Caenorhabditis elegans: one gene and its partner. The protein of the gene in region 2 purifies or fractionates together with the protein of the main gene of each other region. This does not show direct contact. Each region holds a gene or a part of one and is shown on either strand. Other genes may lie near its edges.

Region 1 (11,047 bases), on a different chromosome or scaffold from region 2:
TTGAGACGAGCAACACAAAATGTATCCAATTTGGGCGAAAATTGACTTTTTTCTCTTTCTTTTTGCGGGTGGAACTTTAGGGAGGAGAGGACTATTCCTAGAAGAAATACGCACTCTTCGTGGCGAGACCCGCGAAATTTTATTGAAAATTGAGTTTTACAATAAAATAGTGGGTTTGAACAAATTTGAAATTCGCCACGAATGTAAATTTTTCAGAGGGTTTGATCTACCTGTCTACCTGTAATACATATCAGATATCGTAGTAAACTTTTTAAAATGAAAATTTGAAATTTTGATTCAAAAATTCAAATTCACCACGCTGTGAGCTTCAATTCAAGTATAGTCATGCCTAGGTTTCACTGAGAAAACTGGGTCCCACCGCGAAAACTACAGTACCCCATGTAGACACTTTCGTGACGGGACCCAAATCTAAAGGAACATAGCCAATATGGGGCTTAATTTGAAGCTCTTCGTTTGCTGAATTCAAATTTTATAATAAAACCCTTTAAAATCTACAAACAAAAAAAGTTATCTTGCAGAGAGAAGTAATTTCGATTCACATCGGACAAGCCGGAGTCCAAATCGGAAATGCTTGCTGGGAGCTCTACTGCCTGGAGCACGGAATTCAGCCCGATGGTCAAATGCCTTCTGACAAGTCCCTCGGAGGATCCGATGACTCTTTCAGCACTTTCTTCTCGGAAACTGGAAGTGGACGTCATGTGCCAAGAGCCGTCATGGTCGACTTGGAGCCAACTGTCATTGGTGGGGGATTTTTTTTAAGAAGATATTTTTGAATTTTCACTTAAATTTTTGAAATCAGTGTTAAAAGCCCGTTAAAATAAGTATAATCATGACTAGGTTCTGAAAATGCTGAAATTTTTGGGTCCCGTCACGAAAACGTATGTGGTACTGTAGCAATCTTACAGAGATGTTAAAAATTATTATTTTTGCGTAGTTCAGGACTTTACGCATTTATAACTTCTAATTTCCGCCCAAAACTTTAAGTTTTGGCACATTTATGGATTTTCGAAAAATTTCGAAAATCAAAAAATTTAAATTTTCAAAACGGCACAGCAATATTCCCAGTTTCACCGCAAGACCTAATTTTTTTGGTTTTCATATTTGGCATTTTGAGAACTTTCATTTGAATATGCAAACATAACTAAGCTATGAAAATTCTGAAGGGGTACTGTAGCTCTCGTGGCGGGACCAAACTTTTTTGGAAATCTGGTCATGATTATACGTATTTTGAAGGTGTCGGAAAGCTGAAAAAAATTTTAAAATTTTGAGTTAAAAGGTCTAACTTTATGACTTTTTGTGGTTCTGCGAAAAAACGCAATTGGAAAATTTTTGATATTAGGCTTCTCCGAAAACCCTAGAAAAACGTCACCAATTCCATTTCGGCTCAATTTTCAAAGAGCTCTTCCTCTTTTTGCTTCAAATGGCGAGCCCATTGTGATGTAATTAGACGCAGACACTACACATCTGCTAACATGAATGGATGTACTCTCTCCAAGAATTTAATGGAATTGGAGTAGGACACCCTATTAGGGATGCAAATGGAAAATGTTTTGCTATTTGACGGAGGAAATTTTGAACATTTTCAGAGAAATTTGGGGTATCTGAAAATACTATACAAAATTTCTCACATTTTGTTAGTTGAAACTTTTTTGATAGCTGTTTTCTACGCAGAGTTACAAACGTTTTAACGTGTCGTTGTAAAAGATCGTGGGAGAGAAAGAGACGCAGACAACGAGCGCGACTGCGTCTCCCCTCCCTCCACACTCTCTCACTGTTCTTACTTTAAACGCGTATATCTCCGCGATGAGGAGAGCTATCAAAAAGTTGACAACTACCAAGTTGTAGGAAATTTTGAGCTCTATAATATGTTAATAAACAATTTTTTATTAACTCAACTTCCGGCAAAGTTATAGGCGTTTCAAGTTAGTCTAGAAAATTTGTTTGTCGTTAGTTTTGCAACTAAAACCAAAAGTTCCATGTTCCATCAACTTCCCAAATAGACAAAGTATACTCTCGGGAGGAAGCTCATCTTCCCCTCTCACCAACAAACTTCTTCGTCTGCTATTCATATAAAAAAGAAGAAAAGATGAGAAAATGAAGGGAGGGAAAGGGATGAAGAACATTGGATATTCATCGAAAACCGAAACCGAAATAAGGAATTGGAATTGAATATTTGGGAGTGTTGGTGGCGGAGGAGAAGGATGAGGACACATAAAAATTCATTGAAAGATGAGAAAATGGGCAAAGAAATAAAAGTTGTGTATTTTCGTGGGGGATTTTGGGAGAAAATCTGAGAACTCTGCTAAAATCGAGAATATCTGAAAATTTAGGAACACTATCAAAAAATTGTCAACCCACAACTTATAGCCCTGAAATTTTCCTATATTTTGTTAGTTGAAACCTTTTTGATAGCTCTGCTCGTTGCGGAGATAGCGCCTTTCAAACTATACAGGCGTCAGTGAGTGTGGGGTGAGGGGAGACGCAGTGTGAGCGCGCCGTCTGCGTCTCTCCCCCTTCCACTATCTCTCGGTACTGTTGATTTTAAACGGGCATATCTCAGCGGGAAGTTGAGCTATCAAGAATTTTTTAAAGTACGAAATGTAGGAAATTCCAAGTACTATATTTTGATAGTATTGTAAAACTCTAAAAATTGAGAAAACTGAAAATTCTTCAAAAACAGGACTTCAAAACAGGTTTTTTTCCTACATGTGCTAAAGTGTTTTACTGAAAAGGCAAAATTACCAAAAATTAAATTCTAAGAACTGTTTGAAATACTTCAAATCTCCATAACGCAAAAATTATTTGTCAGATCGAAAACTAGTCAACCAACAAATTGTAGCGCTGAAAATTAACTATATTTTGTTAGTTGAAACCTTTTTCATAGCCTTACTCGTTGCGGAGATAGCGCCTTTCAAAGTTTACAGGTGCTAGAGAGTGTGGGGTGAGGGGAGACGCAATGTGCGCGCGCAGTCTGCGTCTCTCCCCCCTCTACACTATTTTGCCCTGTAAACTTCAAAAGTGTATATCTCAGCGTAGAAGAGAGCTATCAAAAAATTTTCAACTAAGGAAGTATTGCAAATTTTGAGGAGAACTCGAATTTTTATCAAAAAAAAATATTAAATTAAAAACAAAAATTTTCCAGACGAAATCCGCACTGGAACCTATCGCTCCCTCTTCCACCCGGAACAACTCATCACTGGTAAGGAAGATGCCGCAAATAACTACGCTCGTGGTCACTACACCATCGGAAAAGAAATCATCGACCTAACCCTTGACCGTATCCGCCGTCTAGCTGACAACTGTACCGGACTTCAAGGATTCCTAGTGTTCCACTCTTTCGGAGGAGGTACTGGATCCGGTTTCACTTCTCTTTTGATGGAAAGACTATCTGTGGACTATGGAAAAAAGGCCAAGCTCGAGTTCTCCATCTATCCGGCTCCTCAAGTCTCCACTGCTGTCGTAGAGCCATATAACTCGATTTTGACCACCCATACCACTTTGGAGCACTCGGATTGCTCATTTATGGTTGATAATGAGGTAAATACTGGATAAATATTTTTTTACAGAAATTAGCTTGTTAGTAACTGTAAATTACAACCATATTAACATAGTTAATGATATTTTTAAATTGAAAATTTTTTTTTTAAATATTTATTTAGCCCTATTCACTGGTTATGCCCTAGAATATGAAAATTTTTAAGACAAAAGTTTTTGAAAAGTCTCAAAATTTTGTATTTTATTTTCACACCTTAAATTTAAAAAAAATCAATACAATTTCAGATACCGAAAATTAAAATCTCAAAACTTTGCAAAATTCGAAAGTTCAAGCTTTTGAAATTAGAAAAACTGTAATCAGCTCACTCAGAGCTTCAATTTAACACCCATATTGACTCGGTTCCTGTTAGTTTGAAAATGTTCGCCCTTCGCGCCTTTAAAATCGTGGTGAGACCCAAAAATAAGAAAGGGCCGGAACCTAAGCAATATGGGGCTTATTTTGAAGCTTATAATTTGGGGACTGAGATTTTAATAGTTTCAAAGCCTATTGGCAGAAATTTTTATTAAAAATATTTAAATAGAAAAAAAATTGTCCGAAAAAAATTTTTTTTTTGATACTTCCAAAAAAAAATCCAAAAAATTTCCAGGCAATCTACGACATTTGCCGTCGCAACCTGGACATCGAACGTCCATCCTACACAAATTTGAATCGTCTCATCGGTCAAATCGTCAGCTCCATCACCGCTTCCCTCCGATTCGACGGAGCCCTCAACGTCGACTTGACCGAGTTCCAGACAAACTTGGTTCCCTATCCACGTATTCACTTCCCGCTAGCCACATTTTCTCCGGTTATCTCAGCGGAAAAAGCCTATCACGAGCAGCTATCAGTGGCTGAAATCACTAATATGTGCTTCGAGCCACATAACCAGATGGTCAAGTGTGATCCGAGACACGGAAAGTATATGGCAGTTTGTCTGCTTTTCCGTGGAGATGTAGTGCCAAAGGATGTGAATGCTGCAATTGCAACTATTAAGACTAAGAGAAGCATTCAATTTGTAGATTGGTGCCCAACTGGATTTAAGGTAGGTTTCTGAATAAATTTTATTTATTTTAATAATTTTAAATCTCAAAATTCGCCACGAAAAATTTATAAACACACATAAAAATACCGCCAAAAATTAGCCGAAAATCTTGAAAAAAGTGAAGTTGAGGTGTCTTGAACTTTTGTCAAAAACCCACAATTTCAGGCAAAAAATTGAAAATCTTAAGATTGTTCTATGAACTTTTTGGCTTTTAAAAGAATTTTTTCTTAAAAGAAAATTTTCTTTTTCTTACTTAATTCACAACGAGTCTCAGTTTACTTCATAAAATATTTTTTCTAATTTTGCTTTACAGTTTCAGCAAAAAATAAAAAAATATGCTGAAAATCTTGAAAATTATTGAAGTTATAGGGTTTTGAAATTTAAAAAACCCAGGAAATTTACTTTGTTTTCTTTTAATTTTTACATTTCTCAGATAATTTTCAAAGGACAAAATTAGGTAAAAAAAAATTAGCTAAAATCCTCAAAAACTAACAGAGTTATATGGTTTTGAAATTTTTCCAAAAAATATTAATTGATTATTTTTTCTAGTAATAATTTTTTCATAAAACAATTTTAGATTAATTAATAACAAAATGGGTCAAAAACGCATGCAATTTTAGTCAAAAAATAGCGGAAAATCTCTAAAATGAGTAATGTTATGCTGTTTTAAAATGTTGTCCAAAAAAAAAGCTTTTCAATTTACTCGAAAATTTTCACAGAACAATTTCAGATTATTACATATCAAAGTGCTCCAAATAAATTTCTACAGTTTCAATAAAAATTTAACTGAAAATCTTTAAGTAACAAAGTTCAGGGGTTTCGAGTTTTTAAAAAATGTTCTGTCACCTTTTTTTTGTTGATAATTTTAAAAAGTTTTCAATCTTGAAAATAAATTATTTCTACTTTTAGATTATTAAATATTGATAAAGTATAAATATTTTCTACATTATTTAAAGGTTTTTTTTTTAATTTTCTCCAAAAAAAAAGTTTCACAGAACAATTTTAGATTGCTATGTAGCCTATAGCAAAACCGTCCAAAAATTTGTTTTTTACCTAATTGGCTGAAAATCTTAAATTGGAAGAGAAATTAAAATTACAACATATTTTCAAAAAGAAAAAAAAACAATTTGCCCTCACTTCACTTTTTTCCTTTTTTTTTAATTCTCAAATAATTGTGTCCTTCCAAGAAACAGGAAAACTAATAAAACGTCATTCATGTTTACCCTCTATCATCTTTACCACACATTTCGTCAAAGTAAATTTTAGTTGTGAGAAAAATATTTCGATTTCGAAAAACACTACCTAGAATTGACAAAAATAACACATTTAACTAACTCCCACAAAATATAGCCCATAAAAATTCCTTTATTTTGATAGTTTAACTTTTTTTGTAGCTCTTCTCCCCACGGAGATATGCGCTTCCAAAGTTTAGACAGCGAGAGAGTGTGGGAAGAGGTGAGACGCCGACTGCACGCGCAGTCTGAGTCTCCTCTCACCCCACACTCTTTAGTCACCTTCACCTTGAAACGCTGATATCTTGGCTGGGAAAAGAGATATTTAAAAACTTTTAACTAATGAAATGTTTGAAATTTTAAGGGCTATATTTCAAATATAAAAGTTAATTGATAAAAATACTGTTATAGCTATAATACTGCTTTCAGGTCGGAATCAACTACCAACCACCAACGGTAGTCCCAGGAGGTGACCTGGCAAAGGTACCCCGTGCCGTGTGCATGCTCTCCAACACCACCGCAATCGCTGAAGCCTGGGCTCGTCTGGACCATAAATTCGACCTAATGTATGCGAAGAGAGCATTCGTCCACTGGTATGTTGGTGAAGGAATGGAGGAAGGAGAATTTAGTGAGGCTCGTGAAGATTTGGCTGCTCTTGAGAAGGATTATGAGGAAGTCGGTGTGGACAGTATGGAGGATAATGGAGAAGAAGGAGATGAGTATTAGAATATAAAAATAGATCTTGACCCCAAAAAACTCCCCGCTTTTATGATGTGAATTTCCCCAAACTTTAATTATGCTTTGTCTGCCAATTGCTATGCTTCATTTTCTTGAACTTTTACTATTTTCTTTACTACAACGATCAATAAACTTGTTCCAACGGCCTCCATCTTTCACTTTTCAAAAAACAAATACAAGCAGCTTATAGCCCTTAAAATTCCCTATATTTCGATAGTTGGAAATTCGTTCATAGCTGGTCCCTACACCGAGATATACGCGTTCAAAATTTACAGATGCTAGAGAGTGTGGGGTGAGGGGAGACGCAGTGTGCGCGCGCCGCCTGCGTCTCCCCTCCCCATACACTCTCTTGCTGGCTCTGACTTCGAAGGCGCATATCTCAGCGGGGAGAAGAGCTATTAAAAAGTTTTCAACTAACAAAATATGGGAAATTTCAAGGGCTACATTGTGAGTTAAAAAAAATTTTGCTAGCTGCTATAGTTTTTGACACAGCTGTTTTTATGGAAAAATTCATATTTTTAAGCTATAAAAACATTATCAATTCTCAGTTTTTCGGTGCATCCGGTTGATTGTTGGGATGAGCCACTTGAAACTCTGGCAGCTCCGCTAGCTTATTGGAGATTCGAGTAATTATTGGGTAGGGCGTCATGTCCACGTGGTATCTGGCAATTTTTTTTTGAACAAAAATGTGCTTTTTTAAATAATTTTTCCTTACTTTTCTATAGCATTATACACAATTGATGGAAGACAAATATCAGCGATAGAAATTTGATTTCCGACGCAAAAATCTCCAGAGTGCATTTGCAGGAGCTCTTCGAGAGCCTTGAATCCTTTGCTGATGAAGTGTTGGCACCACTGGAAAAATTCACTTTTTAAAGAATTTTTTATTGATTTCTTGAAGTTAAGAGTATAAAAGGAAAAATTAATTCAATTATCGAATTCAGTGCATTAAGAGCTTAAAAAAGTATAATTATAAAAAGTATTATAAATATATAAAAAGTATAATACACAATAGCTACCGCAACCCTGAGGGGTTTCGTGGCAAGACCCCAATATGGGTATCATCTTGAAGCTCTTGGTGAGCTGAATATAAAATTCGTATTTGAAAATCTAAAAAGTTAGGTCTCGACGAGGAAACTGCGAAGTTTTTTTTTTCAAAAAAAAAAAACAAATTTTTATATAAATTTTTTTGGAATTTTTTTTAGAAATTGCTTTAAATTTTCAGATTTTTAGGAATTTTTTTACACCTACAAATACTAACTACTCTATAAAATTTTTTTTGAACTCACAAAATCCCCATAGCCGGGCTCTTTCTCATTGAGCATCAGGTAGATCGGCTTGTTTTGCAGAGGCTGGATATTTGAGGCGATCTGAAATTTTTCTATTATAGCAAAATCGAGAAATTATTTCTGGTCTCACCGCGAAAACAAACCTACCTATTTTGTGGGGGTCTTGGTGAACTTAATTCGAATTTTAAAAATTTTAATACGAAAATAACACAGTTTAATATGTCTATAAATGCAACAAACATACATGAAAAGCAATAGCTCTCGCGCGAGCTTTGAGCTCGGGCTCTTTCGGCAAAAGTGGTGGGTCTGGGTAGATTTCATCGAGATATTCGATTATTGCCATGCTTTCTGTCAGAGTTAGACCGTTGATTTTCAGAATTGGAACTTTTTCCGCAGGATTGTTCCCATGGAATTCTTGCTGAAAATGGAAAAACTTGGAGTTAGGAGCAAAATTTAAAATTTACCTCTTTCTGTTTGTTCAGCAAGTTCACGGGTTGATATTCATAGTCGATCTTTTTCAGAGCAAGAGCTGAAAAAATTTAAAAAAATCCCATATTTTTTTTTGTCTTCTGAAGTTCAGTTACCTGCTTAGATATAGACCTCAAAAATTCCTATATTTTGTTAGTTAAAATTTTTTCGATAGCTCTTCTCCCCGCTGAGATATGCGCGTTTTAAGTTTAGGCAGCGAGAGAGTGTGGAGGGAGGGGAGACGCAGGTGGCACTAGTTGTCTGCGTCTCTCCCCCTTCCACAATGTTTCTTCACGTCAACTTTAAAGGCGCATAACTCTGCCGAGGAAAGAGGTACGAAAAAGTTGTAAACTGGCAAAATATAGCCCTTAAAATATCCAACATTTTGTTGATTGACAATTTTTGATAACTTCGCACTCTGCAGAGATATGCGCCTTTGAAAATTAGACAGCCTCTGCGTCTCCCCTCCCTCCATACTCTCTCACCTTCTTGACTTTAAAGACGCATAGTTCAACAGTAAATCAGGATTTACAGATTTTTTTTTGGAAAACTCACCAGTTCTAACTCTTGACGAACATCCTGAACTCCAAGAGGAGTACAATATAGGTTTTGCTGCCATTTTCTAAAGAAAGTCAATGTGTTTGTGACAATTTTGGAGAAAAGTGATAGTGATGAATGATAATGAATGATAAAGGTCAATAACATGTTTAGGTGAGAAATCGGTGATGTTTGGTAGCAAAACACAAGGTGTAATGATGTTTTAGGTGTAACTTTGCAATGAAGAAAGTTATCAAAAAAATTGTTGACTATTAAAATATAGCCCTTGAAATTTCCTATATTTTATTGGTTGACAACTTTTTTTTAACATTGATAGAAACAGAGATACAAAGGGCTGAAACTGCACGGGTTGTTGCCTGCGTCGCTCCCCGCCCATTCAGTACTTCTTTTTTCAAACGTTAATATCTCTGCTAGGAAAACTGTTCTAGAAAAGGTGCAAACTGAAAAAATATAGCCCTTGAAATTTCCTATATTTTATTAGTTGACAACTTTTTCTAAGTTTTTTTCCCTGCAGAGATATGTATCTTTGAAAATTTGTAGGTGAAAGAACGCGCAAATTTTTTGATGTCTAACTTGTGCCCAATTTCTTACCACAAAACATATTCTGATTATGTTCTCTGACCTGATGTTTGCTCATATCTTATTTTTTCAAATAATACTGGTTTCTAGTTGGAGGCCCCGAAACGTTAAGAAAAAAAATTTTAGGAAAAAAAAAATTGACTTTGATCATTGCCTCCTTATCAGTTTTAACGTACATTCCATAATTTCTTAACATTTTCTTATCACTAAGTGACTAAGTTTGCTCTGAGAGCACATTTTCAGCTAGCAAACCTACATTTTCTTACAATTTTCCCTCGAAATTGTAATTTCGAAACTCTTAAACGGGTAACAATCGAACAAGAATCAAAATTTTAACCAAATTTTAACAATTCAATGTAGCCCTCAAAATTTCCTATATTCTGTCAGTTAAAAACTTTTTATTTCTCTTCTCTCCGTTGAGATATCCGCCTTTAAAATTGACGCCATAAAATAGTGTAGAAGGGGGAGAGACGGAGACAGCGCGCGCTGCCTGCGTCTCCCCTCCCTCCACACTTTCTCGCTGCCTAAACTTTGAACGTGCATATCTCCGCGGGGAGAAGAGCTATCAAAAAACTTTTAACTAACAAAATATAGGAATTTTAAATGGTTATATTTTGTTAGTTGAAACTTTTTGAAAATCTCTCTTAGATTTTGAGATATTTCGGTTTCAACAAAGAATCACTGAAAATCGCTTTTGGATTTGAAATAAAGCTATTTTGGTTCAGGAAATGAAGCATTTTAGGAGAAAACCGCATGATATATTAGAGGACCACATTTTGATCTTTCAAATATTGCTTCCGGCAGATTTATACATTTTTATATATTTTTGTGGATGATTTCAGGGAGATTCAATTTTTTCCAGTTTTTGTAGATAATTTTAATTGCCCCATTCAAAAATGACTAACCAAACTTCCAAAAAACCAAAAAAAAACAAGAGACGATACGCAGAGTACACTGCGATAACATCTGCGTCGTCGTCTCTCTCCACACATTTTGAGAGACCGAGCGACGAGAGAGTGACAATTTGTGAAGAGAGTGGTGAGACGACGAGACACTATCGAATCGCCACCCCCCACACGGACGTATTATACAAGCAAAAAGCCACGTTTTGAATGGCTTAAATCGATTATAAAGTTGACAAACTGCTTGGTTTTTAGTCTTTTTCTTGAGTTTCTTATCGATTTTAAAGGAAATTTGTGGATTTTTATTGGTTTTTAAACAGAAACTAATAAATGCATTGAATTTTTCACTATTAAATGGCTGAAATTGCTGAAACAAACTTTTCCGCTCGAGACCCATACGATAAAACTGCCCCATGCTCCTTTAAATCCACAGTACCACTTTTTTCTTCTTTTTCTTTGGTTTTCTTGTTTTTTCTGTTTTTTTAAAGAAAAATATAAAATAGATGTTTTCCGATGAGTTTATGAAATAAACCCAATTAAAACTAATAGTTTATCAATTTTTAAGCAAGAGGTTTTTTAAGCTCGCTTAAAATGTCAAAAAATAAAATTTCCACTCGAGACCCATCATACAAAATTGTGTGATGCGCCTTTAAAACCACCGTAGCTGTTTCTCTCGATTTTGA
Region 2 (9,321 bases):
TGTAAATCTTTTCAGTTCCACGAAGCGGGCTTTGAAAGATAATCTGGATTTTTTTTCAGAAAAACATTTTCAGATTTGGATCAAAATATCATTTTTCAACTTCTAGCACAGTTATAGCAGATTTCTAGCAGTTAAGAAATCGGAAAGTCTTGGGCTTACAATTGGCTTAGGCTCAGGCTTAGGTTTAGGCTTAGTCTTAATCTTAAGCCATGGCTTAGGTTTAGGCTTAGGATTGTATGCGGGCTTGAATTCGGGCATAGGTTTTAAGCCTGCATTGCGCCTACCTACCTCTAAATTTGGACAAAAAAATCACAGCAACCGACCTTTTCTGGGTTCCGCGGCGCATTAAAAAACTGCATATATAAGAACATCCTGGTAGGCACGGTTGTAGGCACGAGGTATGCGTAAGGCGCCTTGTTGGCAGGCAGGAAGTTTTGTGCCTAAATTTAGATCTCAGAATTGATAAAATCTATTTAGTCTAGACTTAATTCATTTGAAAATGCAAAAAAAAATTCCAGCGTCAAAAAAAATTTATCAAAATTTGATCTTTGAGTTGCAAAAAAATGCCAAGTTATTAAATAGAACACCATTCTCTTTACTTTCTCTCCTCTTTTTTTCATTTACTTTCACTTGACACCACAGGTTTTGTTTGTTTATTTCTATCAATAGAGCCCACAGAAAAGAGCTCAAAAAGTTTATTGAAGCTAAGCCGTCATTTCTCAAAAGTCGTATTTCTAGAACTGCATTATTTTCTACAAAAGAGATACTCAACAATGAAGGTATTCATTATGGTTTTGTGACAAAAATCTGTGTGTTTCTCTTTTTGAATGTAACTAGCTTACCGCGATAAAGTGAAGCGGATTAGTGAACGGCATTGTCCCACTTTTAGCCTTCCAAACCATTCGATATATTCATATAATTCATGCCCATTGACTTCGAATATTTTCTCATGAAAGTTCGCAACACGTATCGTCATCATTATGAGCCGGTGGGTTAAGCTTATTCACTATTTGTTTGCTTAGAATTTGTCATTTGAGATTTGTCATGGATTGGGGACTGGTTTCAGGTTGCCACCTTGAGCAATATAAACTCCTCACCGTTCTTTTTGTTTTTGACACTTTCACTTCGTTTTGAAAATTCTCTGGTAGGCGTAGGTTACCTTAAAGATGGACTAGGTGTAGACCTAGGCAAGTATGCCTGTAGGCAGGCGAGTAGGCATTTTTGTGATCATTTTTTGACATATATGATAATTCTTGAACTGTTTCCTACATATAACTGCTATGAAAAATAATCTTAAAACTTCTGGTATTTCTATTGGACAAAATACTTCTTCTTGAACGTCACTAGTCTACAGGAAGTTATGGGCCGAACCTTTCAAGCTTCAGTCGGCCTGAAAAGTTTTTTTGAAACCACTCGTGACGAGAAATTTACATAGCACATTAAAAAAATTCGGTGGGAAATTCGAACTTATTTTTGTTAGTTTCAATTTTTAAATTAGCCAATTTAAGAAAATTTTTTATTTGGGGACATGAGACACCGAATCCCATAAATACACGCTAATTATATTTTAAAATACCGAAAATTCTTAAAATTCCTGAAAATTTATCTCACAGTTTCCGTTTCTCTATAACGAGTTCCGCCCTTTTCGTTTTCAATACCAACTAACTGTATCCGCGCTAAAATGTATTAAGTATTAGTCACAGTAAATGTCCAGTAAAATAACTGGAACCCATCAAATCCATTTTTCCAACCAATCAACACACCAACACCACTTATAACCCACCCAAAAAGTGTTCATTTTCTCGTTCTTTTCCAGTAGATTGAGAGAGGGGGACTAATTGTAGTTGACGACTAGTGGTGGTGACCATCATCTACTCTTCCACACACATTTGAATGACGAATAATCCTGACCGTCGTCCTCTAGCCCTTTCCACTCATTTTTTTCTATTCAATTCGTTTCGGTTTTCTGTATTTTCCCCCATTCATCCCCTCATACACAAAACAATTTTCGTTTCGATCCGCTCTTCGATCATGCGATTTTTTTTTTTTTTTCATATTTGTATTGATTGAAAAGACATCGGTGTCCTAAAAAGTTTCCAAGAAATTTGGAAATTTCAAAAACAAAATTAAATTTTTGAGCAGTTGAAAAAAATCATAGTTGCAAAAATCCTAAATCCGAATTAAAACGTAATTTTCAAGTGCGCGCACAAATTCGGAGTTTTTTACTTACAATTAATTTTCACAACTTCCAAGAACTTTAATAAACCCTTCACATGAGGAAGTGAGCATTTCAAACCATTTGAAAAACATGAGAATAAGTGCATATAAATGTGTCAATACTCTCGACACCTCACTTGAATTGAAAACTACAAGTGTTCTCTCTCTTCACTCGAAACCAGTGATTCATACGATCGTTATGGTTTCGTGTGTTTATTAGATTAAGTATCTTTCAATTATAAATTAATGTTTCCTTTTCCTTTTTTTGGCAAATTTTGGTCACTTGAATGTTCAGTTTCATTTTTTGCCAATCATCTTTTCTAAACGTCTTATTGCCAGTTGATTTTTCCAATTTTTTCAAATCTTCCAGTACGTCACAAAAAGATGCATGAAACTCAAAAGTTTTCGGAGTGTTTGATCGCTAGAGATTTCCTATAAAACCCACATTACTTTCAACAAAATGTGTTAAACTCTCAGCTGGGCCTCTCGAAAGTTCCCGTTTTTTTGGGGTTTAGTGTATTTTGGCATGTGTTTAGATCATTTTCTTGCCATAAAGTTTTCATTAAGCTCCAGGCATGTGTGCTTACCTACATACATACCTCGAACCTGTCTGGCCTACTTCAGGAGTTTGTTGGCACGAGGTAGGCCTAGATTGCCTTGAAGGCACACCGGCAGGCATCTTCTGTTGCTGATGTCACTAGGCTTCTCCTTTCACACTTACTTTAACCCCCATTTCCTGCTTAACCATTCATATATATGTATAATACAGTGAAAAACCTCCCAACCATAAAAAGTTAATCATCATCACTGTAAAAAAAAATTGACAAAAAATCCAGTCCCATCTATTTCCTCCATCATCTCTAAATCGCGTATTACCGAATATTCGCATCATATAGACCGTGTCGTGTTTTTTTTCTATGTTGGAAAGGATAGGGATTGATGTACTTATGTATAATGGGGGAAACGAGACTCGAGATTTTTTTTATTCGCTTTTGTTTTTTACAGTTTTCACTGTTTTGTAGGGAATTTCAATGTTATTTTTTTAATACTAAGTTACAAAACTATAGAAAAAATTGAAATTTATTTTTTCAGCTGACAATTTTCAATCAAAACTAAAGACAAGGTGCATCACATTTCTAGGACCCACATTTCTTATAAGTTTCTCAAAACAATTAAAGTGGATGTCTTCCACACAAAACTGCTTCCACGTCGTTTCCATATGGTTTTTCATCGTCTGTATAAGCCTGCACTGCATTTTTTCCCACACAAAACTCCAAACTTCCCCAATTCTTTCTTGTTTCTGTGCCATTAGCCTTGACAATTCCAGATTTTAGAACAATGCAATCAGCGGCGAATCGGAATCTGTAATATTTGATTTTTTATGATTTCACGCTATTTGATAATTATGTCTAATTTACATTGGACCATTGTCAGCTTGATGAACCATATAAGCAGCTGGAAGTCGACGTTTGTAATGGCTCAGCATGAATGTAGTGTCACTATTGACATCATCGAACAAAAATAGATTATTCTTGATATTACAATCTCCTTTTTCTTCTGTACTGTTGAATCGATGACGAAGTATGATTTCGACTTTATTAATACGACCGTTGCATTTTGGAGAAATTTGACCGTCAACAGCATAAGGAGCTTCAATTCCATGAGCTCGGGCGATTTCTGAAAGTTTTTGAAGATTACAACACTGAAAATGTTTTTATTGAAAAATATCCCTACCAGAAAACACTTGAATCTCGTGCTCATTTTCTGGAATGGTCAATGAAGCGTTCACATAACTGCAAAATGATCGAGCTCGGTCTCGGTTTCCCATGTTCTTGAATTGGAAAACCTGAAATATGGTCATAAAGCATTATGAACACAAAACCCAAAACTTGGAACTTACGCCCAAACACCAGTCCTTTGTATGATTGTTCCTTGCAGTTGGGACTCTCTTGACATGAGAAAACCCTTCTGGGCATTGTGGATCCTTTGCGAAAACCGCAGTCAAAAATAGCAAAAAGAAAACGAACATTTTTCTGTCAGTTTTGAAAAGTTTCGGCGGGGTTTTGTACCTATTGAAATCGATAAAATTGTGACTAAGCCATGCGGAGCCATTATTTTCCGACAGCATTTGATCGTTTCAACAAAAGCGTGATGTTCAACAACACCCACAAAATGCTCTACCGTAGTATTTATTCTTCTAAACATTTTGATTTGGACGTAGCAGATGCTTGTTGTACCTATTTTCTTGAGGTTTATCATAAATTATACATTATAAATTTACTCTAAAAGTTTTCCGGAAGCCAAAAAAGAGATAATGTAGAGCTCTCCGATTTTTCTTGACACAGAAAATAGGAAGCTTTGAGAAATTTTTTACAATTTTTAGGCCGTATTATCAACAAGATGGAACTTAAAAACGAAAAGTTCGAGACGAAAGTTAAGATGAATTAATTGACTTTTAGTTTACAAAAATGGTATACACACTTGTCAAAACTCTGTAAAAGGAAATGTTTCGTTGCGAAAATGATTTAATTGTAAACCCGCACAGGGATTTTCGTCGCCTAAGAATAACCTGAAGTTCACTTGCGGAAACAAATTGGGTGTACCTTATCTTTTCAATCAGCTAAGGTAATAAGAAATATCAGAAAGATTTCGGAAATATAATATTTATTAAATATTGAAAATTAATCTTTCCAGAAATGATAGAATACATTTACTTAGAACGGCAATCGGCCACAAAGAACGGCGGTGACATTTTTTTCTGGTAGCCTCTTGGAGCCAGCTAGCTGTCCCATACAATCCATCAAATTAGTGTGCCCATCTTTTAGTGTTCCATTAGAATAGTGATACGATCCTTTTTCCAAAACGGTACAATCTGCTGTACTGCGATACCTGAAAATGAAATGTTGGATGCAAATAGGAAAGTCGATTTTCAAAACTTACTCGATATCATCATCAGCTTGTACACTTCTTACGTTTGATCCTGCCGAAACACCTAGCTTTGTGCGAATGAATGAAGTATCCGTATTAATATCATCATATATGAACAATTCATATTTAATATTGCAAATTCCTTCTTCAGAAGTTTGATTAAATCGTTTTGCACCCTTTACTTGTCCTTTGTAAATTGCGAATTTGCATCTTGGAGAGAGTTGTCCATCAAGAGCGATTGGTACGGAAATGTTTCTCAAGCTAGCAGTCTCTGGAAATTTTACATTTTTCCGCATGCAGCAATAAAAAAATCCTCAAAAACTTACTAGAAATCACTTCGAGTTCGTGTGAATTTTCTGGAATACTCAACGACGCATTGTAATAGATACATACTGAACGGGCTCGGTCGCGATTTCCCAGATCCGTTTCATTGAAAATCTTGAAATATCATTTTAAAACTATTTAGGTGTCATTGATATGAACAACTTACCCCCAAGCACCATCCCTTTGTAAAGTTATTTTTTGCCGTCGGTGTTCTCTTGAAATACGTAAAGTTTCCCGGGCATCTTGGATCCTTCGCAGAAAATTCTGGGACTGCCAAAAATAGTAGGAATAGAACTAACATTTTATACTGAACTTCATAGAAGGCTTTCAGCATGCTTTTGTACTAGTCAAAAGCTATAAAACAGTTGTTCGCCCCCTGTAGCGTTTCCGATTCTGCGGAGCCATTATTCCCCGAATACATCAAAATGATACTGTATCTCGGGGCTGGATAGCGGAAACGACGCATTATATTTCTTCATCAGGTTGGATGATTTCATTCAAAGAAATTCTTATATAACACGTAGGTTGATAGAAGTTGTCAAGAATATTGAAACCATGCGCTTTGAAACAAAAAAATATCTGATCTAATAAAGATTCTAACAAAAGTACCCTCATTTTCAGCCCTTTTATCAAAAACATTTAACACCAAAACTGTAGAGAAATTTGTAACACATTCTTTGTCAGCTTATAATTTTTGGTAAAACAAAACACAACCTAGTTATTAGCCGTCAAAATTGAGCAACTGAGTGCAAGCCTATGACTAACATAAGGCCCTCTTGCTTGTTATGATACCTATCCAAAAATTTATGTACACAAACATTTGTGGTTGAAAACAAGACTTTGAAGCTAGATTTTTTAAAACCAAGCTTTTGTCGGCTTCCGAGGTAGAATATAAAATGATTTACAAGAATAAGTTTTTTTTTGATTTCAAGCTTCGAAACTCTTGATTTGTTACAGGGTAGTTTACTTTTAAAATAGTCCTGTCTCTGTAAATTTTGAAATATGATTAGCTCCAATCTTTAGCTATCAAAAAATACTTATTATGAAAATTATGCATATCCTCGACTGATGTTTGTTGCAAAATTGGTATTTTCTGATATAATCACAAGTGATGAATTCGAACAACAACTCCAAAATATTTATTAACAACTGTCTTTTCTGATCAATTAACTCAGAGAGGGAATCTTCCACAAAGAACACTACTATATTCGTGTTTATTTTGCTTATCCTTTTCCCCAAAGCATCCGAGCAATTCAGTTCGTCCATCTACCGCATAGAAATGTGTTCCATTAGAAAAGTAATAGTATGCATCTGTTAATGCGTTACAATCTCTGGTGAAACGAAATCTGTAAATTGAATTCTAGACTTGTTTGACGTTGAATCTAGAAATTTTCATACACTTACTTTACTCCGTCCTCCTGACTGGAGTATCCTCCATTAGTTCCAGCCGAAGTACCTAGTTTGGAACGGATAAATAAAGTATCTGTATTGATATCATCATATACAAACAAATGATTGTTAATATTGCAATCTCCTTCCTCTGTTCTTTGGTCAAAATATTGTTGGCTCTGTTCGCCTCTGAAAATAAGGGCCTTGCATCTTGGAGAGAGTTGTCCGTCGAGTGCAATCGGGAGGGAAATGTTCCGTGCGCGAATAACGTCTAAAAATTAATTACACATTTAGAAGCATATTTTTCCTAGCGATTTTGAATTGAAGACATGTCTTTAAAAAAAAACATGATCAACTTACCAGAAACAATCTCAAGTTCATGTGAATTTTCTGGATTGCTCAGCGAAGCGTTATGATAGAGACAGACTGAGCGGGCTCGGTCACGATTTCCCACATCCGTTCCATTGAAAATCTTGAAAGTGTATTTTAAAACTGGGTACTGTCTCTATCAATAACGTACCCCCAAGCACCACCCCTTTGTAAAATTATTCTTAAAAGTTAGTGTTCTTTTGACAAAAGTAAAGTTTTTTGGGCATCTTGGATCCTTTGCAGAAACCGCCGGAACAACCAAGAATAGTAAGAATAAAACTAACATGTTATGAAGAGTTCAAGAAGAAGCTTTCAGTATGCTTTTGTACTAGTCAAAAGCTATAAAAAAGCTGTACATCCCTTCAATGATTCCGTTTCTGCGGAACCATTATTCCCCGAATACATCAAAATGATACGGTATCTCGGGGGCTGGGCGGAAATGACGCATTTTATTTTTCTACCTATTTTTCAACTTTTTCTAGAGGGAAAATTTTTTATAACACAAAAAAAATCGAGTCATGATATACATTTTCAAACTAGGCATACATTGTAAGAACAATTTATATTGTGCCTCGAGGACAGATTTCTCTGAAAAATCTTCAAAAAATTCAAAAATTGTTTATACATTTGGCACTAGTTAAATAATTTTATACTGGAGCACATCCACACAGAACTCCGAAGAATGGCACCTCGCCGACTTGTTTGTCTGGTTCTTCGCCGCACCTGAAATTTTTTTAGTTTTGGGTTTGAAAATCCTGCAAAAAAAAAACTCACAAAAAATCCTTCAAATTTCCAGTATTCTTGATTGCCTGGAGATTATGTAGAGATAGACATTCAGCGATTGTGAAAATTTCTCTGAAAACTAGAACATGAAGCTTTTATCCCACTGGGTTCCTTACGTAGAGTCCCCCTTCTCCTGATACTTGTCTGATGAAGTTGGCGGTTCTCCAGACCACTTTGTGAGAATGAACGCTGGATCGGTGTGATCGTCCTCCAGAATAAATAGCTAAAACGATCGGGATACTTGAAACACACTTTTCGAAACAAAAACCTCTTTTTCTTTTGCGCAAAGTCCTCCAAACTTTCTCATTCGCCAGTCGCTGAAACCTCGGCATTTTGGATTGAACACTCCGTCCACTGCGACTCGTTTATTGTTTTTTCGAATTAAAGCTGAAATTTGTGTTCAGTTTTAACTTGCCTAAAAGTTGTTTGTCAGTTTCTGTCGGCTTTGTTGTGCCTTTTAGCATTTACATTCAATAACAATGACGTTGCATTTACATAATTTGTTTGATAAATGATAACAGTGATTGGCTTTAAGCATGTTAGTAAATACATAACTTTCAGAAAAGTTTTAGCCGCCGGCTCTATTTTTTCACATTTTCCAAATTTTTCAAAAAACCAGAAAATTCGCTTTCCAAAATAGTACGAATGCTAATCGCTGCCTCCAGGTGTTTGTTCAGCTTGCGAGAATTTGTAAAATGGCATCACGCCGATCGTATTTTTAATAAGAGACGAGAAGGGCGGGTAGGCCCTATTCTACTTGTCTGCCTACAGGCCTACTTACTGTCTTCTTTTTTTGTCATTTGAAGTATTTAGTTTCAGTAAAATTTAGAAAAAATTCCACGTAGAAAAACAGCATGTCTACAAAAAAATTTTCGTCACAACCGAAACCCTTCTATTAGATTTAAACTGCCAATTGAAAAGTAGGTAAGTGGGCATGCAAAAGGCAGGCGCCTGTCACCTTGTAGGCAAATATTAGTCAACTGGAAATTGTTCCGTTGGACTTTACATATAATTTTTCTAATTAACAATACTCTTATTTATTGAGCAGCTACTTACCATTGATATCATCCAGCTCCTCTTGGTTCTCGACATTCGTAATAACTGCGTCATAATCTAGGCAAACTGATCTTGCGATAGGTCGATCATAGACATCCTCGTTTTCTATTACCTGAAAAATTAAAATTAATTTGAAAATTAAGTTTGTCTCATTTCTAAATTCAGTAGCGGGCAGAAATTTGGGATCGCGATAAACCACTAAACTTTTGAAAAATTATTTCCTTTAATCCACCTTCATACACCAGTTCTTCGTGA

Evidence for each region.
Region 1: the proteins of clec-136 (region 2) and Y53G8B.1 fractionate together in Caenorhabditis elegans (co-fractionation; one large-scale study listed by BioGRID). This does not show direct contact.

The regions. Positions count from the first base shown.
Region 1 is NC_003281.10:3,127,242-3,138,288, reverse strand, and holds Y53G8B.1 (maleylacetoacetate isomerase), read right to left. Parts: upstream 9,013-11,047; 5' UTR 8,945-9,012; coding exon 8,881-8,944; intron 8,387-8,880; coding exon 8,322-8,386; intron 8,276-8,321; coding exon 8,102-8,275; intron 7,939-8,101; coding exon 7,858-7,938; intron 7,424-7,857; coding exon 7,284-7,423; intron 7,231-7,283; coding exon 7,113-7,230; 3' UTR 6,640-7,112; downstream 1-6,639. Other genes in the region: mec-12 (Detyrosinated tubulin alpha-3 chain), read left to right, coding at 540-762, 3,164-3,558, 4,164-4,598, 6,260-6,556.
Region 2 is NC_003280.10:4,612,288-4,621,608, forward strand, and holds clec-136 (C-type lectin domain-containing protein), read right to left. Parts: upstream 4,257-9,321; 5' UTR 4,247-4,256; coding exon 4,118-4,246; intron 4,064-4,117; coding exon 3,952-4,063; intron 3,895-3,951; coding exon 3,636-3,894; intron 3,580-3,635; coding exon 3,390-3,579; 3' UTR 3,287-3,389; downstream 1-3,286. Other genes in the region: pqn-35 (Prion-like-(Q/N-rich) domain-bearing protein 25), read left to right, coding at 774-779; clec-137 (C-type LECtin), read right to left, coding at 4,932-5,106, 5,158-5,416, 5,472-5,583, 5,636-5,803; clec-138 (C-type LECtin), read right to left, coding at 6,641-6,815, 6,874-7,129, 7,219-7,330, 7,379-7,513; clec-139 (C-type lectin domain-containing protein), read right to left, coding at 7,875-7,950, 8,002-8,082, 8,127-8,233, 8,279-8,397, 9,067-9,178, 9,299-9,321.